Linked DNA regions of Yarrowia lipolytica. The protein of the gene in region 1 purifies or fractionates together with the protein of each later gene. This does not show direct contact. Links are inferred from orthologs where the notes say so. Each region holds a gene or a part of one and is shown on either strand. Other genes may lie near its edges. The genes, in order: YALI1_E36179g and YALI1_C06041g.

Region 1 (15,458 bases):
ATTTCGTCATGAAGTCTTCCAAGAACCCCTACGCCGTGCTTGGTGACGACGCAGGACTCGTTTGGGTATGGAGAAACCACGTCGTTTGGGATATCAATGGTGAAGACAACCCCAAGGAGTTCATGCGAGTCGACAGTGAAGAGTTCATGCTTGCCGTACCTAACCTGGGTCTGTCTGAGCGAGAGTATCTCCTCAGAGCCTTCAATGCCAAGGACTACGGTTCTCAGGGTCAGTTCCTAAAGGTGATTATGAAGGTCGTTGGTAAGGTGAGATGGCTGGCTGGAGTTGCCTTTGAGCGAGATGATCCTGAGCATCCCGGTGAGCGAACCGATAAGTTCAAGCCTCATTACGAGGTCATCACCAAGAACTCGGCTGAGATCAATGATCCCCATTGGGATGCTTTCCGGGGTTTCAGATCCGAGTACATCCACCTTGCTCTATCTGTTCGAAATCCTCAGGGTAGGGACTGGATCAACGCCACCGAGCCCGAACAACAGGCTTACAATGCCATCCACTTGTCTCCTGAGACCTTCTCTCACTTCAAGAAGTGGTGGCACATGTTTGACTCGTCTACTAGCATGCCTGCTCGTCACGGTCGACTCTGGATGTCGCCTGAGGAGCGTAGGGAGCTCAAGAAGGCTCCTAAGAAGGTGTCCTTTGGCAAGTCCATGCATACTGTCAAGTACATGATCCAGCTATCTCAGCTCTTTATCTGTCACTTGTACAGACACCCTGAGAACGAGGATGAGGCATCGAAGCACACTCGAAGTGCCGCTACCGGTATCAAGCTTCGAACGGATGCGTATATGATGGAGCTGCATCAGCGACGAGAGCCTATCAAGGGCAGTGATGTGTGGAAGATGAAGCTCAATGCGGGAGAGATTGATTTCCAGAGCTGTGATATCCGTGTCATTTCTGCAGTGTTCAAGGAGGAATCTGCCCACGGTGTGTTGGCTCGCCACATGGGTCTCAAGGACGACGTTTCGTCGCTCGGATCCAGCACAAACAACACTAACTCTCACCAGTCTGGTACCACCAATACTGGATCCTCTCGAGTCGGTACTTTCCAGATCTCCGACGGAGACTTCTCCTGGATTGACATGGACGACTTCGTCGAGATCAACGAGTCTACTCCTGATGGCAAGTCTCCCGAAGTGGCTGTTATCCCTATGCTCTACACTCCTCGATGGACCTATTTCCGAGAGACTGACCATGAGCAAAAGGAGTATATGACTGACTCACGTGGCAACAAGTACCGACGGTTTGGTGACGAAACGAACGTCCTGGATGGCTTCCTGGGCAAGATTGCGCCACAACTGACCCAGATTCGGCTGTTCGAGGAGCGAGAGAAGGACCTGGCTGAGCAAATCAAGACTCATGAAGCCATGCTGGACTCTCTCAAGCATGGTGGAAACCAGTCTGGTCAGGCTGTTAAGGACCGTATTGCGTCTGTAGAAGAAACTTTGTTCAACCTGAAGACGCGATACCACGTCATCTCGCATACCTGTCTGGGTATCCGTGCTCCTGGCGAGTCTTCCTGTGGTCCCAACTCCATCTCTGAGCGTATCAAAAACGAGCTCAACGACGTCAACGAGACCAAATTCAACAACCGGTTCATTGTGCACAACGTTCATCTCAAGTGGAACAACATTGTGCGTAATGCCATGTTCCGTTACTTGCATCGAGTGGAGGAGCGCAAGAAGCTGACGTACTTCATGTCTCGAGGAGCTGTCAAGCGAATTGAGGATCTTCTCAAGGAGTTGGATAAGACCATGGCTGATGACCACTACACCAGTGAGCAGAAGCAGGAGCGGGCCAAGAAGGTGACCACCAACCTTCTGCAGGAGGCCGCTCACATGATCGACAATCGCGCCACCTGTCAAGAGCGAGTCGATACCATGGAGGAGGGTCTGTACAACACTTACAGTGACCCCAACATCACCATTGACAACACCTATCTGGTCAAGCTGGTGTCTCCTCAGGTGCAGCTCATGTCTGAGCAGAACCCCGACAAGGTGGTCATGTTGACTGCCCCTAACATTTCGCTTCGAATCACCTCTGCTATTGACGAGTCGGATATCGATGCTGACTTCAAGGGAGTTGTGGAGAAGCGTCATGGAGTGCAACTGGAGCATGCCAATTTCTTTGTTCTGGATAGGGAGGCTGTTCTGAACCGGTCGGCGTTCCTCATGAATAACAACAACTACGGTTGTCATCGCAACAGTCTTTGGCCTCCCTGGCTGGCAATTGAAATGTGCTATGACGCCACTGCTCTGCGAGATGATGTTGTTGTGTCCGATGCTACTGTTGGTCTTCGATACGACAAGCCCAACACACTGCGTCTCAAGTCTCTGCAGGAGTCTGCACGTGAGGCTCGCTGTACTGAGGACGAGGAGAAAGAGGCATTCAACCGTTTCAACCGAATCGAGGTCGACTTTCCCAAGGTCACGGCCTACTGTACTTCCGAGCAATACTTTGCCATCTACACCATTGCCATGGATCTGTTGCTGTATTCTGAGCCCATCAAGGAGTCCAACAAGAAGGCTATGGATCGAATGCTCATGACTTTCGATCCCAAGCGTCTGCATTCCGCTCCGGAGACCATTGAGTGTCTTCAGAACGAGATGCGACGTCTGCGAAAGATCCGAGATCTGATGCAGACCCAGAAGGACGGCAAGAAGGACGTTCGACAAATTGACGTCGAGCTAGCGTCTGGATACCTCGAGCTCTTCACAATGATGGCTGCCACCACCAAGATTCTCGTCACTTCTAAGGAGACCGAAGATTTCACTGACACCATGAAGTGGGCCATTGGCTCGGATGAGATCATCTGGCACTTGCTGGAAGACGACCATACTCCTTTGGTCGACTTTGGTATGGCTTCTCCCTCGTTTGTACGATTCCAGGAGCCCAACGGAGCCAACACCAACTGTATGGAGATCCAGATGATGCAGGGTTTCAACCTCAAGCCCAACGCTCCTTACCCAGAGATGCTTGGTCCGTTTTTGGATGGTGATGTCAACAAGAACCGTCGAAACGCCAAGCTCAAGAAGCTGGACGAGCCTGCTCTTGTGTACGCGGCTTGGAAGATGCTGGCTCCCATTGGTGGTATTCCTGTCATGGAGTTGTTGGAGGTTCAATTGCAACCCCTCAAGCTTGCTCTTGACCAGGACACAGCCGAGAAGATGTTCTCCTATGTCTTTCCCAAGAACAATGACTCTCCCTTCAACGTGCATGACCCCACAAAACACAAGACCATGGCTGATGCTGTTGCCATTTACGCAGACAGCGACAATGGCAGTGATCTGACTGGGGGCAATGAGTCGTTGTCTTCTTCTCTAGCGTCTCGTCTAGACGCATCTCCCAACAACCGATACCAGGTTGTCGGTGTGAAGATGCCTGGTGACCCCGACTCTCCCTCGGCTTCATCCACCCGAAAGTCGATGGAGTCCGACTCATCCGACGAGTCATCTTCGGGACGGTTCAACATTTTCCGCAACCGACGACGTCAGGATGAGTCTGACGAGGGAACTCAGATGATGGAGCGAGCCTCCGAGTACACTTCCATTGTGGATATTCGGCTGCACTCTGCTGTCATCTGCATCTCTCTCAAGGGCCACGGTACCAAGGCCCTGGCCGACGTGCACAACTTTGTCTTCACCATTCCCGATCTTGTGTATCAGAACAAGACGTGGACCAACCTGGATCTGGCCAATCAGGTCAAGAAGGACGTTATTCGGGCTCTGTTGCAGCATACTGGCTCGCTTCTTCGAAACAAGATCCGACCCCACAAGAGAGAAACAAATTCCGCTCCTTTGCGACAGATCTCTGAGTACACCAAATTTACTGCTGTGGATGATCTTCGGGCTGATAAGGACTCTAACGACCATCAGAACGGCCGAGCTGGCCTGGAGTCGAGAGCTGGTACGTTCACTCAGCCCTCGTCTGCTTCTGTCAGTCGAAAGCCTTCCACCGATTCGTCTCTTCGAAAGGTGACCACTTCCAAGAGCAAGGAGTCCAATGGCAAGGAGCATCGAAAGAGCGGCTTCTTCCATCGATTGAGGGAGTCTCTATAAAGAGAGAATGGATGATACGGAGGTTAGAGAGGGAGGATAAAGAGGATAAAGGAGGATAAAGAGGATAGAGGAGAGATAGAGGAGGATAGAGGAGAGATAGAGGGGAGATAGAGGGGACGTTTTTGTATATTAATGTTATTGTATTGTAATTTGTTTTCTGTTAGCAGCTATCTGTATAGAGTATTATGTGCTGGTAGCAATGTGTGGCGTTGTATTCAAATTCACCGTTACACCTCACAATATAACCCTGTAACTCGGAAATCTTAATTGACATACTGTCTATCATGGTGGTGTGATCGGATATACGTATAATTATACTACTGTACTATTGAAATCGACGACGGCCAGTGTCCCGACACACAATTGAACTGATGCGGTTCAGACTATTGAGCGTTCTTCTGCTCGCCGTGACCACCACGTGTGCCGTGTTCGCTCTCCTCTTTCTCACTGGCTACTTACATCTGCAGATAGTCGACACCACCCGTTCGTTTCTGAACAAGGGGTCAAAGGGAGTGGACGTGGAGGTGGAACAGGATATTTGGAGGGAAATGAAGACTGCACAATCAGCAATTGCACCAACGTTAGTTCCACGTCCATCTGGTCACGTGGCTGCATTCGATTACGACGACGACAACTCTGCAGGGCGAGTGAGGTAACGATGCATGAATGGTGATGGCTACAAGTGTCGTAGTACAGAACAAGTACTCGTACTGTTTAAAGATAGAGAAAAGAATGCGTTGCAGAGAATACAGTATAATATTATTGTTTGATGTGTCTGGAGATGTCTTTGAATTGCTGCTACACAGTGTCCCATTGTTCACCTCTACAGTGAAAGATCTTGCAAAAGAGTTAATCTTCAACTCAATCGGGTTAGTATGATCTGGGAAAACAACAGAACATATTGTAGCTATTGTACAAGTACAAGAAGCTGTTGCTATGAAGGCTCATATAACTTACAGTACACACCTTGACACAATTCTGTTGTCAGTCAAAACCATTTGTTGTTGGTTTGTGATACCTCTGTGCGAACAACACTGAGCGTCTATAAAAAAAACAGACACCTGTTTCTGCTGGTCTCGATTTTCATAATTGACTTGCTAATAGTTGATAACTGCTAACTACAGCGTACTCATAGTTGACTGCTTTCGTTTAGAATGTGCAACAGTTGGCGAAGCCAAATGACTGAAATGCCAGCGATTGTGGGATTGCCAAAATATCAGAGCATGTGTCTCCTGCACTGTACACCTTTGCTAATATCCCTCGTAATCACAAGTGCACTGCAGCATGTTCTATAGCAAATACCCGTGACTTGCTACTTTTACACCGTATTTCGCTCTTAGTATGTTAACATGGCTTCAGGTATATTGCTACTGTAAATTCAGTTAGACACGGCAATTGAGACACACAGGTCAGGGATGGGACATACAGCAGCAACAGTCTCGACTGCAGGCCAAGCCTACACTCCCTCGTAGAAGTCTCCACGAGTATCTATCTATCGTTTAACAGCTTCTAACGGGCTTGCACCTTTTCTCCGTCCTCTTTTGCGTCAATTGAAAACCACTCAGAATCCTGATTACAGTAGAGCTACAAGTACCTTTCTGCACTTGATCATCGATTACATGACCAAAGCACTCTCGGGTCTCACAGCAATTGACTTTGATCATCCCTTTCCAAGGTAGACTTTGTGATTTGATACGGGCAGGCTGTCATTCTCATCTTCGTTCTCGTGTCCAGACTATAGTAGTGGCACTTCTTATCACATTTATCACACGTTAGTCTAGACCAACGCCACTTTAACCGCCAGAACTCTATGACATCATCTTCCCCACTCATGCGATATATCAAGCGGCCCTTGAACCTTGTCACCAACCCTGCCAGATCCCTCTTCACTAGCAAAACGCTAAACATCATGAGTTCGAACGGTACAGACAGTGCAAACGGTACAAACGGCGCAGATGGTCCTTCCTTGTCGCCCGAGCCTGAATTGTCCATGAAAGTCATCAAAATCGCAGGTACTCCCTACAACATGGGCTACCAGCACGGCCAAGCCGTCCCCCAGTTGGTCAAGGGCACTCTGGACTTCTACAAGGCGTTCCTGACATCCTGGAGCGGTCTCTCGTGGACAGAGATCCAGCAACACGCCAATGGCTTCGTGCCCTATCTGCAGCGGGAATGGCCCGACTTCTACGCCGAAATGGAGGGTATTGCGTCGGGTTCCGAACAGCATGTGGTGGACATTGTGTGCCTCAACGTCAGAACCGAGGTGGCGTTTGGTCTGAGTAAGGCCTTCAAGAAGGGAGCTTCTACAGCCCCTGAGGCGGCCTCAGACGGATGCACCTCTCTAGCCTGGGCCAAGGACGGAAGATCCATTCTGGCTCAGAACTGGGACTGGATGGCCCCCCAGAGGAACAACCTCGTGGTGCTCCAGGGCACCCCAGATAACCTGCCCCGGTTCTTCTCATGCACAGAGGCCGGTATCATTGGCAAAATTGGTTTCAACGAGTACGGCGTGGGTGTCCTGTTGAACGCCATTGCTGCCAAGGGAGTCGACCCCACCAAGACACCCGTCCACGTGGCTCTCAGAAACGCACTCCAGTTCAAGACTACCGCTGAGGTCGTCAAGGATTTCCGGCTCAAGGGAATTGCTGCTGCTGCCCACATTCTGGTGTCGGATGCTTCTGGAGACGCCGAGGGAGTAGAGTCGTCGGCCTTTGATATCGAAGTCTGCGAAAAGGACAACATTGGTGCTGTCGTGCACTCCAACCATTACCTGAAGGAACACAAGGACGTGGAGCACTTTATGTTCCTGCAGTGTTCCCCCGACCGAGTAGAGAGAATCGACACACTGGTCCATGACCTGGCCACATCAGGTGCCGAGCCCACAATTGATAATGTCCAAGCGCTGTTCTCCGACACTGAGGGCGAGCCCAAGTCCATCTGCAAACCTGTTCAGACTACTTCTCTTGAAAAGAGCACCACTCTGTTCAATATCACCATGGACCTGGTCACAAAGAAGGCCAAGCTCATTGTTGGGCGGCCTGTTGATCCTGAGGGAGAAATTGACCTTGCTTTTGAATAGTGCCAGCTTGGTCTAGCTTTATTTAATCAACACCACTGACTGAGAGAGATATGACGTACATTATTTATTGAGCAACGTTGTAGACATCTTCCGGTGGACATTTTAGCCCACCCCCCGAAATCACCACACGAGCCCATCAGTCTTGCATGTCACATGCACATCGAGGTATCTTCAATACAGCTTTATCGGCAGTGCCACTGGGCATGTATGAGACGTTGGTACAAGTATATGAACGTCTTATAACCATGGGTAATAGTAATGAGTACTTGCAGTTGCCTTAGTTGTCTCGCAGTGTGTGTTGTGGTAATACCAAATTCAATAATAATAATAATAAATAATAATAATAATAATAATAATAATAATAAAATAATAATAACATCGCCTCTACGACCTTAATGCGCTTCTAAGCGCTTCTCTCTTCTCTCCTCCCTCTGTGTCCCATTGACGTCACTGTGTTAGCTACTGTACTGTACTTGTACTGATATGCACAACCGCGCTGCAACTCATACAGTGACTATCGTACTCGTACTTCTCATGGAACATCTATAGAGCTTCTTACAAAAAAGGCTGAACTAGCTCTGAGAGCTGGTTTAAATAATCAGCACCAACACCTCATCATTCTTCAGTACATCCCTTACTATGTGTCACCCCCAACCCTCTGTCTATCCATGTTCTATCTCATGTCACTTCCATCACGTGAACACACGGCTCAGAAACACTTCTTCGTTGGTAACACAAATAAGGTTTTTAACACAATGGTTGAAGGGGGATAGAAGTAGATATTGATGGAGAAGTGGGGATTTAAAAATGAATAATATGAATAACTCGCCAATTTCCTTTTGATTTATGTAATTATTTCCCATTAAAACTGTCCCCATACCCCTCCTTTCGACACACCGCCCAGTCCCACCGATGCACCTTATTCAGTCTCTTCTGAGTGGTCACGTGAAATTCCATTTTGGGAACGCAGTCACAAACCCAAACGCCGACCCACTCTGGTTTTTACTTTGATCACTGGAATTCTCTTTCTATCCAACGACAACACACGACTAAAGGTGGGTATTGACACGACGGTGAATGAACAGTGGACGTAACGGTGATGGCACAGACGACCCGGCAACAACACGAGGATAAGGGAAAAAGTTGATGTCAGAACATGTCTGTGTTTCTGGTGCTCTCATTTTGAGATCCCACAGAGGATTGAGAAATCAGCACACAGAGATAACATGAATTGATGCGATAAGATATTATCGTTGGTTGACCACCTATGTCTCTCTATGTGTTAGGTTGTTTGAGTGATGTTGTGGTTGGTTGATTGGAGCGTGGTTGTTGCATGCAAAAAACTTCATTCTCTTCTCTTCTCTTCTCTTCTCTCCTCAGCGCTACACACGCACCACACCACACGCACACTGTAAGGACGAAACAGATACCAGATATCTCTAGACTCGAAACTAACACAGATGGCCGCCTCTAACCCCCATCCCAAGATTGTCAAGAAGCACAGAAAGGCTTTCAAGCGACACCAGTCCGACCGATTCGACCGAGTCGGCGAGTCCTGGAGAAAGCCCAAGGGTATTGACTCTTGTGTCCGACGACGATTCCGAGGCACCATCCGAATGCCCAAGATCGGTTACGGTTCCGCCAAGGCCACCAAGCACATGATGCCCTCCGGCCACAAGGCTTTCCTCGTCTCCAACACTGAGGAGGTCGAGCTTCTCCTCATGCACACCAAGGTCTTCGCCGCCGAGATTGCCCACAACGTTTCTTCCCGAAAGCGACTTGCTATCCTCGAGCGAGCCAAGGCTCTCGGTGTTAAGGTCACCAACCCCGCTGGTCGACTCTCTCTCCAGGCCTAAGTTTGTCACTCTGTGGCTAACTGAAAACCGGTTTGGTGGACACACCAGACTTAATAAAATTCTTGTATCATCGCATGTGAATGGCTTTTTGTCTTGTATCTTGGAGTTGTTAATTGTAGATATTTGTAGTCTCGATTTTTATTGCTCTACACATTATGTCTCTAGGCTGTATCTCTGTCTCTCAAAAAGGAAAACTTTTCTTCCCACGTGAGCTCTCGTTGAACCCGCAACTTTATTTTGTTGGAAGAAGGGGTACTTTAAGATAATTGGTGCATAGAGAGAGTGAGTGATTAATGATATTTTTTGCAGCATGGAAGTGATGGAAAGTATTCAATATTCTTTAATCGACATAGATACTTTAAACAGTATAGACAGCCAAAAGTGACACTTCTACATTGTTGGGTATCATTTTGATGACTCTGTATTGTAAGTTTCTAGTAGTCCTAACTAATATTTTAACAACTGTAAGGAATATATTAACTAAAAGTCAACGAATGGTAGCCAATGTTCTAAGTTTGTGCGGCTGTACTGTAGTCACGACTCCTCCAAGTGAGTTCCCTGTGCTCATAATACCACCTGAGATACTCCTATTTCCGCTGTACCACTACGTACACTCTACAACTCGATACTACAGTCATGCATCTTCATTAGGTGGCTAATTTACATCTTCTCTGCATCACGTCAAATACGTCACGTTCCAGTGCTGCTACGTCGTCTCTCAACACTGCGCTCTGTGAGACCCTTTCCAATTCTGCACAAACTCTTGGACAGCACCTTGGCCATTCCCCAGGTGTCTAGAGCTGACAGAACATCCGCCCAAAAGTATGCAAAGCCTCCAGCGTAAGAGTAAGTCAGCATGTCCGACACTCTGTTAGGCTCTCCATGACGCTTGGCAAGCTCATGGCAGCTGAGCTCGATTCCAGAATCAATCAAACTCGTCTGCACAGTGTTCCATAGTATCAGCTCACGTGTGCTGAGGTCTCTTCCAATTCGCTTTTCAATGGAATCGATCCAAACGATGAACACCAGACAGATCTCAAAAGTCGAGACAATGTTCTCGTCGATCATACCAAAGGTGAGAGGCTTGAGCATGAAGGACTGGAAGATCTGAGATCCACAGAGAAGAGGCACGTGAAACAGCTCAAAGCACTTTTCGATGATCTTCGTCTCGGTCACCATCAGCTCTTCGCAGTGAGACAGCTCAAAAGTAGCTAGGCTGAGGGTTTGACGAGGGGGCGAGTGGAGCTTGATCGAGGACAAAATTGTGAGAATATGACCCTCGAGAATCATGGGATGGGCACGGAAGAGAGACACGGAAGAAACAGTAGAGGGGTTGATGGAGGACTCGATAATGGCTCGAATCATGATCATCAGGCGCTCACTGGCAAACAAATCAACTGTTCCAGAGACTGTAGGGGGCAACTGTTTGCAGCAATGTTGCCATTTCAACAGCGCTCGACCTAGATGGCCCGTATAAGATCCATTTTGAGAAAACTCGCCACTTCCATCTCTGCTGGTGTTGTTGGCACCTTCCCGTTTCTTCAGTTCCCAAACTTCGAAAAACAGAGCTGTACCGAGAATTCGAAGCCCATAATGACTCGAACTCGTGTCTCCAATGCCACAAAGAGCCTCCAGACTCGATCTGAAGGTTTGGGGAGGTACAGTCTGCGAATAAGCCTGCAGCCACTCCTGCTCGGACGAAAACGAGGCGTTCCACAGCGACTCTGAGCACGGCAAAGTGAGATTGGGACGCACATTGGCGTTCCAGATGGCTGGCCCATGGTTGAACAAGCACGTCATTGTACCGTATAGTACAAAGACGGCGAAATACGTACGTCTGGACGACTCCTGCATGATCCAGTTGCTCCACCCAAACTCCAGGTTTTCCACCTCCACTACTCGCTGAGTAACGAGGTTAGAAAGCAGGGTCTTTGTGCCTTCGACGAAATTCAGACTGGGCTCATCACCAACTCGCATTTCGTACGAGACGTTGATGAGCAGGGTTTGGGTTGCCCAAATAGGCACGGGACTGGCCCATGACATTTCACTCTGTTCGAAAACAGTGCGTCTCAACGAACAACTGAGATCGTTTAGTTTTTTGGACATTTCGATTTCAGAGGCAAACAGAGCTCCCATGGCACACACTGCAAACAAAAGAGCTGGGGAGGCCGTTTGTGGGTTGAACGACTGGGGATGGATAATGGGAGTCGTCATATGATAGCATGTGAAGTACACAGACAGGTATCTGTTAAGCTGGCCTTTACTTGGCAGAAACCGCAGCCCGCTCTTTTTGATTTCGTACTGAGACACTGCCGACAGGAGTGTCGACAGAGGAGGCGAATGAGGTGCAAACTGGGGGATGACAATAGGAGCAGGGGGGGTTTGTGGTGGTGGGTGACCGCTTGTTGATGCTGATGGTGCTCCTGTTGCTACTGCCACTGTTCCTGGGACTCCAGTCCCTCCTCCTACTCCAGTTCCACCTCCTACTCCAGCAGACGCTCCTGTGGTTGCCGCACTGGCTGATAAAGGAGGCGAAGGCTGGGCAGAAATGGGGTCCGTCTTCATCCCAAACGTTTCACTGGCACTTCTCACATGCATGGACGTCACGTGCTGTTGGTGTGGATGCTCTCCGTTGGATCCGTCTCGATGCTGAGCCTCTCCGAAAATGGCATTGTTGATGTTGTCGATCCCTGGAATGTTGACGTTCTTTTTGCGGCCCAGATCGGTGATGAGATTTGCCGCAGACAGCTCCTGGTCGTACAGCATGTCGTAGTTGAGAGGAGACGGGTATCTGTGTGGATACTCGTACTCAAACTCGCGTCCCGCAGCTTCCGCCAGCGTGCTTAGCGATTCCTTGTCCTGTGTGTTAGGCGAGCTGGTGTTGAAGTTTCCAAACATGGACATGTCCACTTTTCCGGGCTGTTGTTTGACGTCTACTGGAGAGTGTTGCGTGTGTGCTGGCGAGTTCATAGCTGGGTCGTGTCGAAGTGGAGGCTCAGGCTTTTCATTGTTGTTGTTGCTGTTGTGTAGATGAGATTGGATACCATTGTGGTTTGGCGGCAGTTGCTGGTGTTGTAACTGCTGCGCGTGTGGGTGTGGATGCTGTTGGGGTTCAGGTATGATTGACTGTTGGAGCTGGGGCTGCATCGGTTGACCTAGAGACTGTTGTGGTGGTGGTGGCGGTGGCTGTTGATGTGGCTGCTGCTGCGTGGCAACCTGCTGGGCCACCTGGCCTACCTGACCCTGTTGAACGGACATTTGCTGAAGCCCACTAACTGAGGACTTCCTTCGATCCTCCTTCTTCACCTTGTTCTCATTGTGCACTGTTCGGTCGTGTCGAAGCAGCAGATCTCGTCGTACAAAGCTCGAGGTGCACTTCGTGCACTGGAACGGCCGCTCCTGGGTGTGGCTCCGCTCGTGGCGAGTACGATGCTCGGACCGCGAGAAGGCCCGGTCGCAAAACGTGCATCTGTATTTTTTGATTGGAGCGTTCATGATATGATCTTTGGAATTAGGACTCGAAAAAAGACTTGTAAAAAGACTTGGTATCAGTCTGGTGTATCAGACGAACTGTACTGTGGGCGTGTATCGTGTGTCTCCCTTGTGTCCTCCACCTCGCGTACTCGTGTGTGAGTCGCTCCGTATCAGCTGGTGTTTTGGGCTCGAAATAACGTCGCTTGGAAGTCGGGTCAAGACCACTGTCCAGCGCCATTAATTTTTCTCTCTACACCACCTCTTTGCCTTTGCTTGTACCCCGCACGACAAGCCTGTGGGGAAAAAATTCAAAAGTTGTAACAAAGGGAACTTTAAGCAGCTATCCCGGTTATATCCCTTTTTTTGTTCCATCTCGCTTTGGGCTAGCTACTTGTCGCAGCAGCGCAGCGTCCTGGGCAGCGTTCAATTGGAGGGTGTTTTGTACCCCGCCCTTAGTCACTGAGATTGGACGTGCGCGCCCCACCACCACCCCGCTCAAGTTCAAGGCATTATTCCCGAGTCGCTTATGACGTCTGTCTTCGGAATATTCTATCCGAACTCTATCATTCGAGGTGAGATATTCTACGAGCACCCTGCTGGCCTGGCTCGTTTGTAGAGCAGAGGCGGCTGCTGCTGTTGAGTAGACCACCGACGCCTAATTGTTGAAGCTCCAGTAGCGTGCGTTGTACTGGTTCTGTTCGCTCATCTAATGATGTTGTACCACCCATCCTTGGCCCAGCGCTACTTGTACAGTAGTGTCTCTCCTTCTCTTCTGTCACCTTTTTTTCCGCTGGCCCTGACTTGACACTTGTTCCGCGCCCCCAGCCGCCATTAGTTTGGGCTTTGTTGTGCATAACGTTGAGTGGAGCCTTGCAGCGAGGAAACGATGAGGCAACGATGATCTCTGGGGAAGGATCGGCCCGTAGACGGTAGATGTGCGAGAGCCCCTCGAATATCAGCCGACACATATTAATTCCACACGCTGGGTCCCGCCTTCTCCGCCACCTCGCACTGGTGCACGCAGTTACCCCGCCCCCGAAACAACGGTACGACCCCTCTTCTATAATTATCCATGTTGCAAATCAAGCCTGGGAAACCACATCTCCGACGCTTGCCCTCCTGCTATTTAACTCAGCTGGGTTTGACAGGCAACCTGTGGAGTGCGACTACAAGTAGTCAAGCTTTGGGGAGACTCGACAGAGACTCTACGTAGCAGACAAGGGTTGGCGTATGGAAGAAGGGTAATAGGCAATGGGACCTCTCGAATGCGATTGATGCTTGATAAAATAATTCTCTGCGTCGGCACAATGGCGGTGCTCGTATTCAGCAGCATAATATTCGCTGTCTTATACTGACACTTTCCTGTATAGAGTCTTGCGCGTCCTACGAGTGCTTGTACATACCAGCCAGTACTGTAATTACAGTACGTACGTTGGAGGTTTCTGCGGTTTTCTAGCACCTCGCGAAAGTGTTGATTTTGGAGATGCATAATGACGACAGGGAGAATGGATAGAATTGCTGCCAGCATGGTCATTTGGAGTCAAGTTGCGCGCAGTTCAAACACGTGATACACCCTCCTTGTCGTCCACTCGCCCTTCTGCCCCGCTGTCACGGCCACATGCCACCCTTCCTACTCCGGCTCGTATACGGCTATGCTGCGCTAACTTGCACTGACGTGTTTAGAGGTGTCGTGGTACAAGATGTTCGCTACTGCCACCTCTGAAGAGATTCATCTGAAACCTTATCCTCGCGACAACAGAGTTCGGTTGAAATTGCAAAGCGCCCCTACAAGTAGCGTTTTGGCGGCAGCCAACAGCAGAATAGTTGAACCCATGGACTATGTCTTGCACCTCCATGGTGTAGAGTGCCAGCCGTGTTTTAGAGTGTTTTCGGAAGGGAGCATCACGTAGACACAGGTTGTGCAGTTCCGTAATCACCAAATTGTCAATACAATCAGATGAGGTTACTGTACTTGTACATACATACTCCATTTAAGCAACATAAGAACAAACAAATCACACATCAATGTGAGATGTGACGCAAAGACAAAAGATCACCATCCAACATTGCCCATATACCCCCTAGTTTGGCAAACAAGACGAGGTTCTTCCTCAAAATGACCGAGAACCTCCCTACCCAGCCATCCGCGTCAGTTCGCTGAAATAGTCCAAAACAGTCATCCCCTAACCCTGACACAGGGGTCATGATTGTCACCATCCGACAGAGACGATAACCGTCAAACCATGGAGCAGCAGATCCAAGAGCTCGTGGTCAGACGTATTCAATACATTGAATATGTTCGGAGAGTGTGAGTACCACGAAAAACACGCGCTAAGAAAAGCGCCTTTGGTTCGACACTGCCCCACGCGAGACACACACGATATGGCACACGACAGACCTCAGCACAGCAGTATGAACAAGAAAGGAGAACAAGCCAACTAACACAGCCACTCCGGATCTCTATACTGGCTCAACTCGGTACATCTGTCAAGGGACGACATCGAGGCCATGCACTACGACAACAACGCCGCCCAGCATCTCTTCTGTCTAGGGGCATCTCTGCCGCACATGATTGTTTCCAACACGACTCAGCAGAGCTACCTACGCTCGTTTCTGGCTTTAATGAAGGAGTTCGAGACATTCTCGTCCGCCGAGACCACAAAGCATCGACTCTCAGGCGTGGGACGGTTCTTCCGGGCCAAGACCAAGAACGACAAGAGTGAAGAGTCCTCAGCGCCTGTGGAGTTCACACATCTCACAATATACAGACTACCGTTCGTACCAGACATGTACGAGACCTTTGGGTCAGTATGTGCCATCCTAGTGGATGCATACTCCAAGATCCTGGAGCTGCCAGGAAAGGCCCCTGATAGCTACGAGATGCTGCTAAGACTAGATGAGCGCGTGAAAAGAGGAGTGCTGGATGCATTTGTCAAGGACGTTGACGCAATGTCAAAAAATGTTGTGAGAGAC
Region 2 (17,187 bases), on another chromosome or scaffold:
AGTGTCGTGATACGTGGATCATGAGTTTGGGAAGTTGACAAACCGGCTGTATCAGGATCTATAATGGTCACTGTCGCCTGTGGCAACCCGTCTGGCGCATTTGGATCCCTTACCGCTTCCAAAATTGTGGCCCAAATGTCCTCAAATGCCGTTCAAACTCGTCGTGATGGCCCCATTTCGCAACCTCAAAAACAACACACAAATACCGGCGAGAAAGGGCCGTGTAGGGTCTGGTCGCCACCTCCCGTCAGCTCCTCCACCCTCTCCGTCTCGAATAACTCACCCTTAGTTACACTCACCTTCCCCAAAGATCACTAAATAGGATCTTTCACAAGAAATGTGTATGTGGTAGGAAAAAGTTCAAATTCTGCAAAACCGAAAGTGAAAAAGGATTTTCCATAAGTCTCTCCCAATGGACGGGATGGCTTATGGGGCGGGGCTGTTGGGAGTACTGTAATTGAGAGAGGGGAGAAGAGGAAGAAGACGATATTGGCGGTGAGATGTGTGGTTGTATATATGTATTTCCGCCTTGTTTGTGTCACCAACCCCCTCCACCAACGAGTCCTATTACACCGTCTACTTCTGTACACACGACCTCATACCCTTCTTGTATCAGAACACCCATGATCTGTCCCCTGATCTATACATACACCACATGACAACCTAGGTATATTATGTGACAAGGACCCGCAAAAACTTGTCGACCGGTCACGTTATGGGACGCCATTGAGTAGGGAAAAAAGCCATCACCTGAATCGCTGACTAATGGAAATTGTCGCGCATTCTGCCGGGTCTCAGCGTACATTACAGAATGAAGCGTTTGCCAGCGTACATTCCAGCACACCTGCCGCTTTGGGCATATCCCCAAAATTGAGATTCAAATTCAAATCTTGTTACAGCTGCCCCGATTGCTGGCCAGCACACAATACACCGATACCCCCGTGTGTTTCGGGCGGATCACGTGATACGCGCGTCTCCTCGGGTCGGGATCGAGTATGATGCGGGCTGTAGGCGTACGGGAGAAAACTGGGCTGGAAAACGGCTCATTCCGTGCACCTGTTTAACACGTTCGGCTGTAAGGCTGAGTAATAAGAGTCTCTGGAAGCTACCTGGGAAGTTTAGCTGCAAGACTTGTATGTAAGTATGACACAGCTGCCATGGATGAGTGGAGGTATGAGAGCAAGAGTTGTCTTGTGGTTGGTTGGAATTACCGCGGCAGCTTGTGATCACGTGATCAATAGTATTGGTCTCGGGCGAGGTCTTGGGTGTTTCTACTTTCAGTTTGATCCACTCTATAGGTATTTTTGCATCGTCATTGGACTTCACCGTGTTACTGGAAATAGACGCAGGCGAGTATAGCAATATTGATATGGCCAAGAGTAATTTTGGTGTACCATAAGAGTGGAAACACAAGTATAGGTACTTGTACGTAGATGAGACCTGATTGAATACAGGAACATTGATGACGTACCGCTTCAGATAATTCAACCAGTTCGTGCGAGCAGCTACAATACCGGTCCAGGTGTTTTTTCCTTCTTTATATTATTTATATATATTATATATATTTTATATTCTTTGTAGAATCTCTTGTTCTACCTTAATTAAGAGAGTCCCCAAAAATACATTTTAGTTGGGGTTTTAGTTGTAGTGGAAATTAGTAGAGCATAATTTAGCCGTTCAATAAAAACAACTGTCAAGGGAAGGGACAATGTCCATCTATCAGCCCTCGCAACGGTCGCAGTAAAACTCTGAAGATACCATTCGACTCGCGTTGATTCAAGGAATCCAACCATACCTCTATATTTCCTGTATCTCCATTCCATCATAATGTGTATGTTGTGCAACTCTCAACTAACGCCGATCGTACTTGGCTCAGGTTACATGTCTCAAACCCCTCCAGGAAAGTCTAAGCCCGCCACCCGAATTACCTACAGTACACTACTGCGTGTGTACGTACAGTTACCCTACCGACCTTTTGTTTCTGGTCTCCCACCAACACCACGTCCACCGGCGAATTTACCAGGCCATGCGACCCAGATGGCATATCCCATGTATACCTGGTTGCGAGCGGACCAAAAGGGAATATTAAGTGTTGATGAGCGTTGTGGGGACGGTGGGCATCGCTACATCTGCAAAATCACAAGCGATTGTTTCTGCTGGTACTGTGGCGACCTGAGTCGTGGTGATCGGTACACGGGTCGTCTGTTGCCAGATATAGCCACCCTGTACTGTTACCCTACCTGGTGGCTACGCTGCTTTGCCCTCTCCTCCTCCTGGCCAAATAAAAATACACTCCAACCACTGCCCGGTGCCCTCGTCTCAACGTGCGACAAGCTTTGCAGCCAGGTCCTGTTTCATGCACCATAATGTACCATTTGCGCAGATGTGCAGGCCTTTCCCCTGAGAGCCTGAGGTGTCAGATATCACGTGTAGGCGGTTGGCGGGCGCGATTTTCACCAATAAAACTGGTTGACCAGCCAAAGCAGTGGCTTCCCGGTCATTCTCCCCCGTCCCACTCCCCTCTCCCTAGCCAGCTTTTCTGTCACGTTCCACTCTGTTTTTCCATTTGGCAAAAAACCCTAACCGCCCTCCCAACATGGTGCGCACGTCTGGATAAAACCGCAACGTGTGAAGCTCCCCCAAAACCTCGACAAGAGCCCCCACCAGCAGCCCAGCCCCGTCCCCGAGCCCGCCCGTTGCGCCCACGACCTGCGCCGCGCCCCAATCCGCCTCTTTCTGCGCCCAAACGCCGGTTTCTGCGTCCAGGCGTCCAACCAAGCCCTTTTCTGGCTCCCCAAATCGTCAACAGCCAGAAGCAACAGACAACAAGATAGTGAACAAGCTGACTCGATCGATAGCAACGTCCCCTCGACGCGCCCCCGTCCAAAATACCCATCTACAGCTCCGTCAAGGCCCTTTTCGAGTATCTCCAGGATCCTCAACCGGCCGAACCGTCTGCTCCAGCAACCCCAGCAACCCCAGCTTCAAGGACTCTCTGGTCTACAAACATGTCCACAACAATCGCCTCGCCTATGTCCACGCCGACCACCCAGGACCCTGGTCCAACCAATAACCCCTTCCGACACCTGCAGACCAACTACTCGCAGCTTCCCCGACATATGATCTCCCCTTCTCTGGACAAGTTTTCCGACTCCTCCAGCTCGTACTGGGGTTCGCGACGGTCCACGGGAACTAAGGAACCCGTAGGACTTGCCCCCGAGGTGCCCCAAAACGTTGTCGATGACGAACTGCAGATCATCGGAGCCCAGGTGCTGCGAGACGCGTCTCCTGGCGATGGAGACGACGAAGACAACTCGTCTGAACACACCACAGCCTCGACCAGTGGCTCTTCCACCGGCGGCTCGCCCTCCAAAAAGCACCAGCCCAACTGGCATGACTTTTACAAAAACGGGTACCCCGATGAAGTCATTGTTATCGACTCTGATAGTGATGACGACCACGGCGACGACGTCAACAACACCCAAGTGGCTCAAGTAGCAACTACTGCCACGACGTCAAAAACTACTATCAACCGTCGAATTTCGTCCGCCGCTGACCTGCCCGTCAAGCGACGAAAGTTCTCGCAATCGTCGACATCAGGCTCCACCACCGCTACCCACAACACGTCGTCCTCCGACCAGCAACTCGACACAAACACACATACAACACTCGACCAGGACTCGGACAAAAATCTGCTGGACGATGACGAGAACGACACTCCTCTGACTCCACCACCAAAGCTTCGTCGAAAGATCCCCGAGGTGTATGTTCGGCCTGTGGCTGACGCCAAGAAACTGTTGGCGTCTCAGTACGACGATAAGGACGGCCATTACGTGACCACGTTTTCGGACGTGTTCACCGAGCGATACGTCATTCGAAAGCTGCTCGGACAAGGCACTTTTGGTAAAGTCGTGTCGGCTTACGACAAACAGACTGACTCGCTATGTGCCATCAAAATAATCCGAGCGGTGCCCAAGTACCGAGACGCGTCGAAAATCGAGCTGCGTGTTCTCACAGCCTTGGCCGACTATGACGCTATGAACAAGAACAGATGTATTCATCTGCGCGAATGCTTCGACTTCAGAAACCATGTCTGTATCGTCACAGACCTGCTGGACATTTCCGTCTTTGACTTTATGCGTGACAACCGGTTCCAGCCCTTCCCTGGCTCTCACATTCAGAAGCTTGCCAAGCAGCTCATCAAGAGTGTGGCCTTTTTACACGGTCTGGGGCTTATTCACACGGATCTCAAGCCCGAAAACATTCTACTGAAGAAGGCAGCTTTCGTGCGGGTGGCCAACAAAAACCTGGGACCGTCGTCGATCCGCAAACACAACTACTACCGCGCACACGACCCCAAAAAGACGGAGCCCAAGACTCGTAACGTGCTCAAGGACACATGTATCCATCTCATTGACTTTGGCTCAGCCATCTTTGACGATGAATACCACTCGTCGGTGGTGTCGACGCGCCACTACCGGGCCCCCGAAATCATTCTCGGCGTGGGCTGGTCTTATGCCTGTGATATGTGGTCCATAGGCTGTATTCTGGTGGAGCTTTTTACTGGAGACGCCCTGTTCCACACCCACGAGGACTTTGAGCACCTAGCGCTCATGGAGGCCATTATCGGATACCCGTTCCCCAAGGCGTTCGTCAAGGAGATGATCTCCAAAAAACCCAGCGCTCAGGTGGGCAACTTTTTCAACGCCCGATCCGGCAAGCTCGGATACCCCAACAAGGACACCACCACGAGCTCGAGGCACTACATCCGAGATACTCTGTGTCTGACAGACTTGATCCACACATCGACGCAATCCACGAAGAGCCGCAGCGAAGGAGCCAACCCTGATGGGCAGTTCTGGGACCTGTTCCTCGACTTGGTGCGCAAGATGCTTGTGTTTGACCCCCGTGAACGAATTACTGCTCGAGAGGCCCTCCAGCATGATTGGTTCAAATGTGGGATTTCCGATGAGGGTAGTGTTTAAATCACAACTCTTCTGATACTAACTGAGGACGCGTTAGCACGGGACATGTGCCCGTCCTCACTTTTTTAATTTTATTGGTTATGGGATGGTTAGATTTATATGTAATTTAGTGTATTTATTGTTTATGATGGTGTGGGGAGTGGACATGTAACAGCTTCATGGAACAGCAGCAATTGATATTGATTTGAGGGTCATCTTCAACACCGTTCGTATCCAGTTACAATAGTCCAAGCAGTGTATCTGAGATAATGGGTGAATACAGGCATTGGTATGTACTTGTATGACGGGACGTAACTGTTGAACTGTTGAAGGGCTTTACTTGCCAAGTATCATAAGAACTGTAGGTCTCTGAAGATATACAAACAGGTTGCTAGATGGCTTGGAATGATGACAAACGATCAACTTCAGCTATTGGATTGACACTACATATCAGAGTAATGGTAACATCTGATGTTCATGTGTGCTGCCATTGACGTAATTGTGGAGATACACAGTTAGAACAGCTATCATGCGCTGATCGTTCACTTGTTTTTGAAACCAGAAGCCTACAATTTGTAAATGAGAAGCTTTACCGAACGATAGTCTCTCTGTCACTCGCGCCTACTTTCCTCCTCTAGCTACAGATCCTGAAGCATCCACATCTGCCAGGCTACGCCACAGCTAAGTCATTGTAAGGATGACGAACTATCATACAGTAAGACTGATCGCTTCAAATCATTACAAGCGAACAAAGAGCTTCAGTATTTCCATACTCTCCGTATCTGTACTTGTTTATCCCCACACTTGACCCATTCAGTGTGGAGTATGTACATGGCTACATCAGGCTTCTGGTCATTTTCAATGGCCGTATCCAACACACCTGATAAACATCCAATCACTGAAAGAATACCTCCAGAAGACTCCTTGAGCCATGTTCTACAAAATAAAATCTTCAGAAACTCTTCAAACCCCCCTCCCCGACATTTTCTCTATCGCGCTCTCCACACTCCAGCTATCTACACTCTAGGTTAGAACTTCCAATCGTGGACAACGCGGTTATGACGTAACCGGCCTAACGGCGGCAGTTGGATAAAGTGAGACTTGCGCAGTTGTAGGCCAAATGAGAGGTTACCAATGGTCACGTGAGCGCTTTTTCGAACCTCGGATTGGTTCTGGTCGAGTCTGTCTCGTGACTGGACTCCTCCACACCACATTGCTCTACCTCGGCCTATCATGTCCCCCAGAAATCAGGTGCATATTCCCTCCACACTTGTACCGACCAAAGTCTATATGGAACGTTATTTTCGGCACGTTTGAAATCGCTGTAGTGTGCAGATACACGGGCTATCAGGAATGCTCTTATATAAGGGACGCGATAGATCAACTGGACACTTGAAGCAGAACACATATACAACTTGAAGCAGCCCAAAATACCCCCTTTAGGTACGCAAACATACACCTTTGTTCTCCTCGGTAAAAACAAAGTTGTCCCCGGATATCAACCGAAATATTTCAGCTGCACGAGCTTCTCAACCTCTCTACGAGTACACAGACACACACAAAACAACTGCCAAAATGTCGCTAGCATACACAGTCAACCTGTTGCGGGCCTCCGGACGTCTCAACAAGGTCCTGGCTCTTCTGTCCAACGCCGGAACCCTGGATCCCACTCTAGCCTTTGTCGGGTACGGATCGCTCTTCGTGTGCGAGCTGCTGCGACTCGAGTCCGTGCAGATGGGCGTGGTGGTGGCCAAGGTTCTGCTTGGTCAGGTGACCGGTCTTGATATCGACGAGTCGTTTGAGAAACTGGGTCTGGCCTCGGATCTTACTGGCGTGGCTGACTCGCTGGGAGTGCTGTCTGGTCTTATCTCCGACATTCGAATCTTCAACCGTCTATGGGGTCTGGTTGGTCTCATTTCCTGGGGAATTTCCGAGTACGATGCCCAGCAGAAGCCCCTGGACGTCAACGACCCCTACATCAAGTACGACAAGGCTGTTCGAGTTATCACCGCCCTGCAGGTGTGGTCCAACCTCTTCTACCAGCCTCTGGAAAACGTGGCCTACCTGGGCATGCACAAGATCCTTCCCGTGAGCGACGCGGCCCAGAACTCTCTGTGGCTCCACTCCTCCAAGCTGTGGGCTCTCCATGTGGTTCTGGAGCTCATCCGACTCGTTGTGGAGATCAGACGAAACGTCAAGAGACAATCGATCGAGAAGAAGGCTGGAAAGACTACCACCACCACCGATACCAAGGCATGCAACTGCACAAAACTGCTGCCAAACTTCCTTAAGGGTCTTGGAGACCAGTGGTGGAGAGACCTTGTCATCAACCTGGCCTACCTGCCTCTCACAGCCCACTGGTCCATCGACGGTGGTATTGTGGACAACCTGATTGTCGGGTTCCTGGGTGCATCTGCTGCTGCCGCCAACGTGGGTTGGAAGTGGAAGAAGGCTCTGACTCCCGACGTGCCTGTCGAGAAGAAGATGCAGTAGGTGTATTCATAGAGTATATAATAGATAGATTGTTGGATTTTGAGGTAAGACAGTCTTAAGGAAACAGTCTTGTGCGGTGGGGACAATCTCGTACGGTTTTCGTAGTTACCAGCGTGTATAGTGGCTGTCTATTATTTTGTATATATATCACAACATGCCGCAACTGATGCGTTACTCATCAGCAAAAGAGTTGACGACCTCCGTCAAAAGCACCCCTCTCATGGCTTCGGGAACGTCCATGGAAACCATCTGGAAAGCCTCCATCACATCCATACCTGCCTCGGCACACAGCTGTTGTATCTGAGCCAGAGCAGCCACCACCTCTGGAGCCAGTTCTCCGTCCTGAGCCTGATCAGTTCCGTCATTCTGGCCTGCTAGAGTCACATCCGAAGCAGCAAACTCGCCGGAAGAGTAAACGTTGACGTCTTCTCGAGGAGGAACAGGATCATCATCATAGAGATCAGACTCGGCAAGAGGCTGGGCGTATTTCAACAGAGTGGGCTCTCCCGAAATGACCAGGTGACGTTTCAGCGACTCATTCATGTTGTACCAGTGAGCAGGTCCCTTGCTTCGGGTATAGTCAAATGCCACGGTATCCCAGACCTTGGTGAAGAGCATCTTGGGCTTGGGATCGTCCCACAGAGTTCGGTTTCTGAGCACATAGAGCTGTGACTGGGCCTCAATGGCCGAGTCGGAGCCGGATGAGTCGAATCGGTGGTTGTGTGGGGTTCCCAGGCTCTCGGCGAGCGTGTATCCGATCCAGGGGAAGGTCTTGATCGCTGTTCTGAGAGCTTGTTCGGCCTCAGCATCCTTACCATCAAGTAGTAAGGCGAGAGCAAGAGAGTAGCCTAGTTGAGGGGCCAGTTTTTGCTCTAACATGTACTTGATGGCTGTAGTGTCTCCTCCCTGTACGGCAAAATGGTCCATCATGTATCTGCATCCGTAGGGATCGTAGTCGGCATCGTCCAGAGAGTAGATGAGCTTGGAGAACTCGAGAGTGGTGTTCCACAATCCTCGTCGCGCCAGAATGTCAATGTATAGGTAGAGGGTTCGGTAGAATTGCCTGTTTTCAACGTACTTGAACTGGAACTTGGACTGGCCAAGAACGGCCTGTGAAGAGGTTAGTAGAGCTCGGTTGAAGACGTACAGAGCTCGTTCAATGAGGTCGGCAGACTCACTGCTAGCCTGACCAGTGTTGATACCGTTTCCAGCCAACTGGTTCAGAGTGGATACGTTGTAGGGGTACTGACCAAACAGATCGGCTGAATCTTGTCCGATAGCTCGTCTTTGGACAAATTGGAACTCTCCCTCGGCATAGGAGTCAGAATGTGTGAATCTGAATGCTCCTGGGTCAGCCGAGAGTCGGGCCACGCTCATTTCCGACTTGATCTGAGGGATCCAGTAGGGTTTGATGGTGACAAGGGTCAGCTTTTTAGTGGTTCCAGGCACACTTCGTTTGTCCTTGCCTCCCCAGACTCTGCTGAGTTTTTCCAAGTTCTTTTTCTGATTGTTTGTAAGCTGATTGGTAAAGTTTTCTGCGGTTCCGTCTTCATCCCACAGTCGGATGTTGCCGTAGATTCGCTTGATTTCGTGCTCGGGGTTGAGTAGAGGTGGAGACACGCTCAAAGGCGTAGTGGGCACTGCGTTTTCTTCCTTGCCCTTTTTGTTCTTTTTCGATTTTCCAGAAGTGGGCTCTTCGGTTGACCCTGTAGAAGCGGGTGCAGTCTTAGGAGCCTTGCTCTTGGCAGGCTTCGTCTGAACTGGTTTGATAGGCTCAGTTGGTCCCTGTTTCGAAGTCTCAGAAGTGCTAGAAGACTTGGAAGAACTAGAAGGCTCGGCGGAAGGCTCTGGAACAGGCTCGGGGGTACTCTGTGACATCTCGGCTGGCTCATCTTTGACACTCAAGCTCTGTACCTGCTCTGCCAAAGAAGCTGTGTCTGCAGGAACCTCAGCTTCAGCCTGTTGCTTCTGGGCGGCCTTTTTGGCGCCCATCATACGTCTCATTGCCGAAGACATATTGTGTGTAGCGGGTGTATGTGTCGATTGGCCTGTGTCGTTGTATTGTATGGTGAACAATATCAGATCATCATGTCGAGATGTCATACATGCATGGAGCAAGTTTGGGTTTGTTAGTAAGCTGATCCAGGAAAAAGATACAAGGAATGGATGATACAGACGAGGGGTGATTATATCAGGCTAACGCTCATTGATGGTGTGCGAGCTAGTCACTGATATAATGTCCAAAATCTTGTCGATAATGTCTCCGGTTGCCAATATTATGACCACAGCTATAAATGGTCTCTTGTACTAGAACAAAACCAGACACTCTAGCACAATACCTCCTCTCACTCGTATACACTCTCTGCACATTCCCACCTCTTTAAAATCACATAAATACATTGCTATTTGGTATCGGTCATGGCATGGTCTCATATACGTCGTGTACTATGTTACTGACATAGCTGTGCTTGGCAATTAGCCCTTATTCAGTCCTGAAAACTTTCTCGAGGCTGCAGTTTGATGATAGGGAATCCCACGTCGTCCACCTCCTCCACTTCCTTCTCGCTTTCATCGTCGGATCCCTTCTCAGTCTCGCTTCGGCCTCGCTTCTTTCGCTGTGGCATTGCTGCCAATGGCTTGTTGCGGTTCAAGCTGTATCTTTCCGCACCGATTCCCTTGTATCCCTTGACCTCTCGGTCCTTGTTAGCAGACCCCAGACCGAGTTCTGGAGCAGCAGAAAACGACTTGGTGATGTATCCTCCGAGAGATGAGGCAGGACCGTACGTTCCTCGCAGTGGGTTCTGCACGTCAGCAACAGGAGTGAAGCTCTCGTGTCGAAGCGACGCATTGTGATTGCCGGTAGTTTTGTGGCCGTCGGAAACGCTCTTTCGAATACCCATACCGACGGATGCCAGTTGATCCCTCTGCTCGTCGTCCAGGTACTGTTGGAACGAGTTTGATCGCTGAGCTGCGGGGGCCTCGACGGGCTGTTTCTGTTTCTTTCGTTGTAGCGACATGGTGTGGTTATTCTAATAGAAGGACGTTGTAGCTGTCCTTTTGTTGAGTGAGTCGGTTCGGTGTTGGTTGATGACTTGTAGTTAAGGTGGTGGAGTGCACATCAAGTTTATTTACTGTACTGTACTTTGGGAGTGGTGCAGTCAAGTTGCGCATAGTTTAATGAGTCAAGCGAGAGTCTACTGTGTATATTATGTGTATGTACTGGCGGCAGCAAAAAGTGTGCCTGAAAAATAATACCCGTGGCACCGGATAGCGGTGACACGTTGGGCACAAAGGGTTGGACTGAATTGGAGATCAACGAGATGAGTTAGGATTAGGGTTCCTGTGAATCAAGGGATGGCCTAATTGAGCCGCTAGGGTTGGGGGGTGGGGGTTGTATTAGTAATCTGAGTGTGGTTTGAAATGGTTGATTTTTTTTCAATTCTGAATGATGGTGAAAGCTTGAAAAAACCTAACCTCAGGGCTGAGGTCAGCTACAGCACGATTACTAATATACGTACTATGCTTGTACTTGTACTCGTGCTCCTCCCAAATATCTACCATAACATCGCCATTGTTTAAGATGTCAACTTTTGGTCTTTACAGAATGTCCGTCGATTAATACATGATATACCTGCCGTTTCAAGCACCGTTACCCGTACTCGTACTTGATCCATAACGCAACAGATGATGAACGCGGACGACGTTCTTAGGGCCTCACTGGCTACCATTCTCTACATTCGAGGAGTGTTTGAGAGCAGCTCCTACACGGTGTCTGTGACTCCAGACGGAGCCCCATACATGAAGTTTCTGAGAGGACATGATGGAGTGTCCCTTGTTTGTGATTGGATTGTGAGTATGAAGTTGTGTTACGGTCTGTCATGACCCGTGTAGACCAGCTATTGGCCAACATGCTAACTAGAACTATGCGTGTAACGCTTTTTCAACCGGAAGCGTTACCAGGTTTCTTATGGAGTTTTCACGGACGGATTCAGAGACTCTGGAGGAGTACACACTCACAAGTGACCAATTGCAGGCTATAGGAACCCACCCAGGTTTGTATTTCTCTTCTCTGGCTAAGGAGCTAGAGTCTTACAAGGATATGACCATGGAGGTGGACTCAGATAATCTGCTGGTTGTCAGCATTTCGCTAGAGTTTGTGGCGGGGTATCCTCAGCATTTGCAGCGAGCCTTTCGGGGGATTTTCCGGACAAACACCGAGGGAGGTTAGCGGGCTGTTTGTAGCCATTCAAGCTGCGCATTGCGAAGAACGGGATGAGGTCAATAAAAGCTGGTGGGAAAGTAGTTGTTTCCAGTGCAACTACTTGTTACCTGTTACCTGTTACCACTGAGGGGTTGATCTTGTCAAGTAATTGCATACCAGGCCCACCCTCGTGGTGTATCCCACTTCGCTCATCACCCCTGTGTATGTGATTTGATCTCTTTCTCAAACTTGCTCATATGCTTATTATCTGACAGGCACCTGAACCCCATCTGTTTGGTCTAAGAGGGTACGTCATGAGTGCAGTTCTCATCAGACATGAACCTATCTAGCTTGCTCTGCTGTTGCTTTATCTCTCGCTTGTTCGTATCTTCAATTTCAACTGGTGGACTTGTTCAATACACGGTATCTCTGTATCTCTTTGCTGTTCGGCATCCGATCACGTTTCACAATCACGGTCGGTTCGGTTCGCGGAGGTTAGTGTGTGCTACATTACCCCGCGCAGCAGTGCCGAGCGGCGGATTTCAGATCATAATTTCGCGAGCTTCTTTTAATTCCGGTCGTTGTGCTGTTACAGAAGAGATGTAGAGGGCGGTATCCGGAGTAAAAATGAGATTCAGCACCGAAAATGAAGATCAGGTATCATACCGTTTTGTCGAAGTATTTGGTCACAGTAGCACATCGTTTCCACAGTATTCACCGCGTCAGTAGCTTGTAAGCTGTTTTCAAAGTGTCTATGGTCGGATTCATAGCTGAAACTTAGTTTTGCGAGAGAACATGCTGTCACCGGAAGTAGAAAAGATTGAGAAAAAATAAAAACATAAGTAGGGTCTTCCCATTTAACAGAAAAATATTATGGATTTATATTTCCTCTATTCGTCGCAAAACCCGACTTGTGTCCCTTCAACAGACTTCTAAGCCGCACAACTCAAAAATACTTTATTCAAGTTAGCTTGATTGTTTAATTTATAAGTCCGGACTGAAATTTGAGCTCTCCAGAAATTCAGGATAGCTGTCCAGGACAAAATATATATCATTGTGATTAGAATTTTCTGCAAATTATTACTACTCATGTGAAATCTTATCCTACTAAGTATGAAGGCGTCAGCATCGACTCTCTATACACTTCCGAAACCTACCGTCTCTTCCGCTTCACTTCCGACGGAATTATAGTGCACGTTTATCGCATATCTCATGCGGAATATGCAGGCACCGGCGATAAAAATATGAACACTCTACAACCCATGAGACTCATCAGTACAAGCCGAGATCAAGAATGGGGCCATTTCGGGTGGTGAGTTGAAACCTGAAACTGTTACTTTGAAGATTCTCCTGTATATATATGTCCTCTGAACGTCTCCACTAGAATACTCACAGACAACATCTCAATCATCGTCCTACACCATGGAAGGATCTGTCTTCACCCAGATTGTCAACGTTGCAAGCTTTGGAAAGCTCTTTCCGTATCCTGAATTCCGACCAGACTACGTGATCCCAGACTTTGCTGCTGAGAACGACCCCGTGAAGAGTCATAGTGACATCTCCACAAACACTGCCGTCATCTCAGGATCTACAGTCGTTGTCACATTCACTAAAGATGACCCAGAGAACCCCAAGAACTGGGGCACCGCAAAGAAGGTGTTTGTGTCCGTTCAGATCCTGCTGTTGACTTTCGCCATGTACGTCGGGTCATCCATCTATACGCCGGCCATTTCTGAAATCTCAAATGACTACGGAATCTCCACTGTAGCAGCTATCTTGCCGTTGTCGGTGTTTGTCTTTGGATACGGAGTAGGCCCCATTGTTCTCTCTCCTCTTTCTGAACACCCTGCTGTTGGACGTCTCTGGATCTACATGGTATGTCAAGGTATCTCCATTTGTCTCATGGTCCCTCTAGCTCTTTCACCTAACTTGGGGGCCATGTTGGCACTTAGATTTATCATGGGAATCACCGTTTCTCCCGCTCTTGCAACTGGTGGAGCTACCCTCGGAGACCTGTTCGAAATTGCGTACCTGCCCTTTGCTCTGGCCTTCTGGTCCATCTCTGCCATCTGCGGTCCTGTCTTTGGACCTGTTCTCGGAGGAGTCTTTGCCCAGGTGCTTAACTGGCATTGGACTATCTGGATCTGGATGATCATTGCCGCTGCCGTCTTTGTTTTGCTCTTCTTTTGCTTTCCAGAGACGTCTGAACACCACATTCTCCATAAGAGAGCTAAGCGTCTGCAAAAGCTCAACCCCAACCTCAACTACACCACTGAGGCAGACGAGGAATGGAAGGCCATGAGCAACAAGGAAGTGGCTTACCAGATCCTATTGCGACCATTGGTCATCATCTTCTCTGAGCCCATCGTCTTCTTCCTGGACGCCTACATTGGTCTGTCCTATGCCATTCTGTACACCTGGTTCGAGGCCTTCCCCATGGTCTTCTCCGAGCTGCATGGCTTCAATCTCATCCAGACTGGACTCACTTATCTGGGACTTATTGTAGGAGGACTTTTAGCCGCCTTCGTCTACGTTCCCATTGTATACAAGACATTCACCAAGCCCGTCATCGAGACAGGTGAGTTCCCTCCAGTGGCTCTGTTCATGAAGATTGCTCTCATTGGAGCCATTCTCTTCCCCATCTCTGTCTTCATGTTTGGTTGGACGGCCCATAAGAACATTCATTGGATTGTTCCCACGATTGCAGGCATGCTGAATGTACTTGGCCAGTACTTCATCTTCCAGACCGTCTTCAACTACCTGAGTGGCTCGTACCATCGCTTCATCGCTTCTGTGTTTGCAGGAAACGGCCTGTTCAGGTCGGGTATGGCGGGAGCCTTTCCCCTGTTTGCACGGGCCATGTTTGTCAAGCTGGGTCCCGGCAACTTCCCTGTGGGCTTTGGTTGCACTGTCCTCGGGTGTCTGTCGGCTCTCATGATTCTCATTCCGATTGTTCTCATCAAGTATGGAGAGAGGCTCAAGGGTGGAAGCAAGTGGGCCAATTAGAGGTTGGTGGAGTCAATCTAGAGCTACTGTACAACTCACTACCAGTAGACATGCGTATAATGATAAATCAAGTGTTAACGAGGCGACTGCATAATGTTGGCGGGGTTATCTACGATACCGTATCAGACTACAGTATATAGGACTAGGGCAAAAGTAACAGAGAGGTACTGTAGAATCACAACCAGAGTCGCAACACAAAAACAAGTCAAACCCTGAGACTCTTGGCTCGTATAATTCTCCGATGTAATTCTTTCCTCGATTTAACACCCCCTGTCTCACAAAAGCGAAACCAGCCAACCAACGGAACACCGTCACATTTGCTGTAGACTTCCGAATGCAACAGCTATTGAACCCCCCACTCGATAGCTCTCTAATGAACCATTAATAAATCCTTAATAACGATCTTCGACTCGCCAAGAAGTTATAATTCTGGTCCACGAAAACTAGCCATTGCTATAGCTGGCTGCTAAGACCAACTCAAAAGTTGTTGCCGGATTTATGTTCCGTCGGTGAGACAGAGACATGGACGAGGCTGTAACAGCAGTAGCAATCACATGATCAAAAGCAGTTGTTCGTACTGTAGTTGTAACTCAGGGGTGCCCTCAGATACACGCTATCGACCGCCCACCATTCAAAAGCGCACTAAAAGAAGCTATCTTGACGGGCAGAAAAAAGCCGGATTGGAGATCCACCCAACTTTATGTCGTCTGGGAGGACCACAACACACACCCACGGACGGAGTGATACAGCTGTCAGGTATAGGAGGAAGATGGGCTCATTTATCGTTGCAAGCATAAATGGCGGTTAAATGTGCAGGAGCAAGTGCTCACAGGAACGTCTATAGGGTGTTCCAGATGCCACCATAAGTACGAGGAGGAGAAAGACTACCAGTAGCAGCTACTGCTGTTGTACATGAATTCCGAGTACAGTACCAGCAGACTGGTCCACTTGGGTCTAAGTTTTTCTGAGACAATGGGCCGGTGGGAGAAAAGTACAGTGAGACAAGAGTAGGGCCTCCGACAATTAAGCGAGTTGTTTCAGGTGCAAAAGATAAGATGGTGATTGTTGGGGAGAGACCCAAGGGGGATAAACAGGAACCAACATGTGGAAGGCCACTAACAAGACATCCAATAGGTATTGTTCCTGAAAAATAGCCCTTCAACACAACAAGTCATTGTCTTCCTACGCTATATCGCTCTCTCATACAAACAGCCTCGCTCCAATATCCACCTCAGACCACGGCCGCCCAAGCCAAGACTAAATGCAATTACCCGCGCCCGAAGAAGAGCGTGGAGGTGGATGGCATTGGTCTATTGTGAGACATCGGAGTAGCACAAGCCAGAACAGGGACAATGTAACACTGGGGGAAACACAGCGACCCCTCTACCCCTCCTACATGAGATCGGCATCAATTAATTAATTTCCCCTAAGCCATCTTTCACCTGTCCCTACATGATATATTTGCTTTTCTCTTTTCTTTCTGTTCCGGTTTGTCCATGGCATTAGGTTTAGGTACATGCATGTGTACGGTGTGCACGGTGGAGATGAGAATTTGAGAACGCCATAAAACGCCCGGAAAGAGCCTGGAACGCCCTGAAAAGTACCAAGAGACTTACATACATGGTCAAGATCTGATTTCCAAATTTTCAGCCCTCAAAATTGCCCGCAAACCTCCTTCAGCCCCTTATCCGCTGCCCACCCTATATACCTCCACCCAACTCTATCGAGGTGGAGGATCTACAAGCCCCCATAGATATATACCCTGCGACCCCTGTTGTGATCCATGGCATGCGACTGCTAGACAATGACACTTTCTGGGGCCAGATAGTGTACCTGTTGTCCCGTCGACGGCTTCTCAGGTACCCCGAGGAGGAGCCCGGCTTCGTGCCGCCCACCTTTGGGGATTTCGGGGTGGAGGCCGTTGAAGACCGCGACTTGGAGCAGCTGGAGAACGCCAAGCGGCAGTGTGTGGATTCCGACGACTATCTGCCTTCCTCAGACACCTTTGAGTCCGACAAGGGAATGATCTATGTGAGTTGGTACGGACCTAATGATGCTGCCAATCCCAAGAACTGGAGTCTTCTCAAAAAGATTATCACGGGTCTGCAAATGGGACTGCTGGTCGGTTGCATTTACATGGGCTCGTCCATTTACATGCCTGCCATCTTGCAGTTGGAGGCTGAGTTCCATATTCCCGAGGTGGTGGCTATTTTGCCACTGGCAGTATTCGTGTTTGGATACGGAGTAGGACAGACATTGTTTTCTCCGCTCAGTGAACACCCGCGACTGGGACGAATGTGGATCTACAATCTCACCCTGCTCGTATTTTGGGTCCTACAGGCCCCTACAGCTAAAGCCAAGAACATTGCCTCTCTCACAGTTCTGCGGTTCATCTGTGGAGTTCTAGCGGCTCCCTCGTTATCGATGGGAGCTGCCACAATGGGAGACATGTTTGAGATGCGCTACATGACGTATGCTATTGCTTCATGGGCCTTCTTCTGTTGTACTGGCCCTGCCCTGGGA

The links.
Region 2: the proteins of YALI1_E36179g (region 1) and YALI1_C06041g purify together in Saccharomyces cerevisiae (affinity purification with mass spectrometry; 3 studies listed by BioGRID). This does not show direct contact. The link is inferred for Yarrowia lipolytica from reciprocal best matches to the Saccharomyces cerevisiae genes RPL32 and RQC1.

What each region holds. Positions count from the first base shown.
Region 1 is NC_090774.1:3,611,056-3,626,513, reverse strand, and holds YALI1_E36179g (60S ribosomal protein eL32), read left to right. Parts: upstream 1-8,615; coding exon 8,616-9,011; downstream 9,012-15,458. Other genes in the region: YALI1_E36308g (uncharacterized protein), read left to right, coding at 1-4,076; YALI1_E36206g (uncharacterized protein), read left to right, coding at 5,887-7,155; YALI1_E36140g (uncharacterized protein), read right to left, coding at 9,702-12,506; YALI1_E36116g (uncharacterized protein), read left to right, coding at 14,729-14,793, 14,933-15,458. UniProt on the Saccharomyces cerevisiae protein: Component of the ribosome, a large ribonucleoprotein complex responsible for the synthesis of proteins in the cell.
Region 2 is NC_090772.1:596,505-613,691, reverse strand, and holds YALI1_C06041g (uncharacterized protein), read right to left. Parts: upstream 9,561-17,187; coding exon 7,629-9,560; downstream 1-7,628. Other genes in the region: YALI1_C06118g (uncharacterized protein), read left to right, coding at 1,828-2,367; YALI1_C06106g (uncharacterized protein), read left to right, coding at 3,009-4,985; YALI1_C06071g (uncharacterized protein), read left to right, coding at 6,540-7,457; YALI1_C06032g (uncharacterized protein), read right to left, coding at 9,944-10,474; YALI1_C06023g (uncharacterized protein), read left to right, coding at 11,142-11,306, 11,377-11,685; YALI1_C06006g (uncharacterized protein), read left to right, coding at 13,081-14,664; YALI1_C05972g (uncharacterized protein), read left to right, coding at 16,453-17,187. UniProt on the Saccharomyces cerevisiae protein: Component of the ribosome quality control complex (RQC), a ribosome-associated complex that mediates ubiquitination and extraction of incompletely synthesized nascent chains for proteasomal degradation.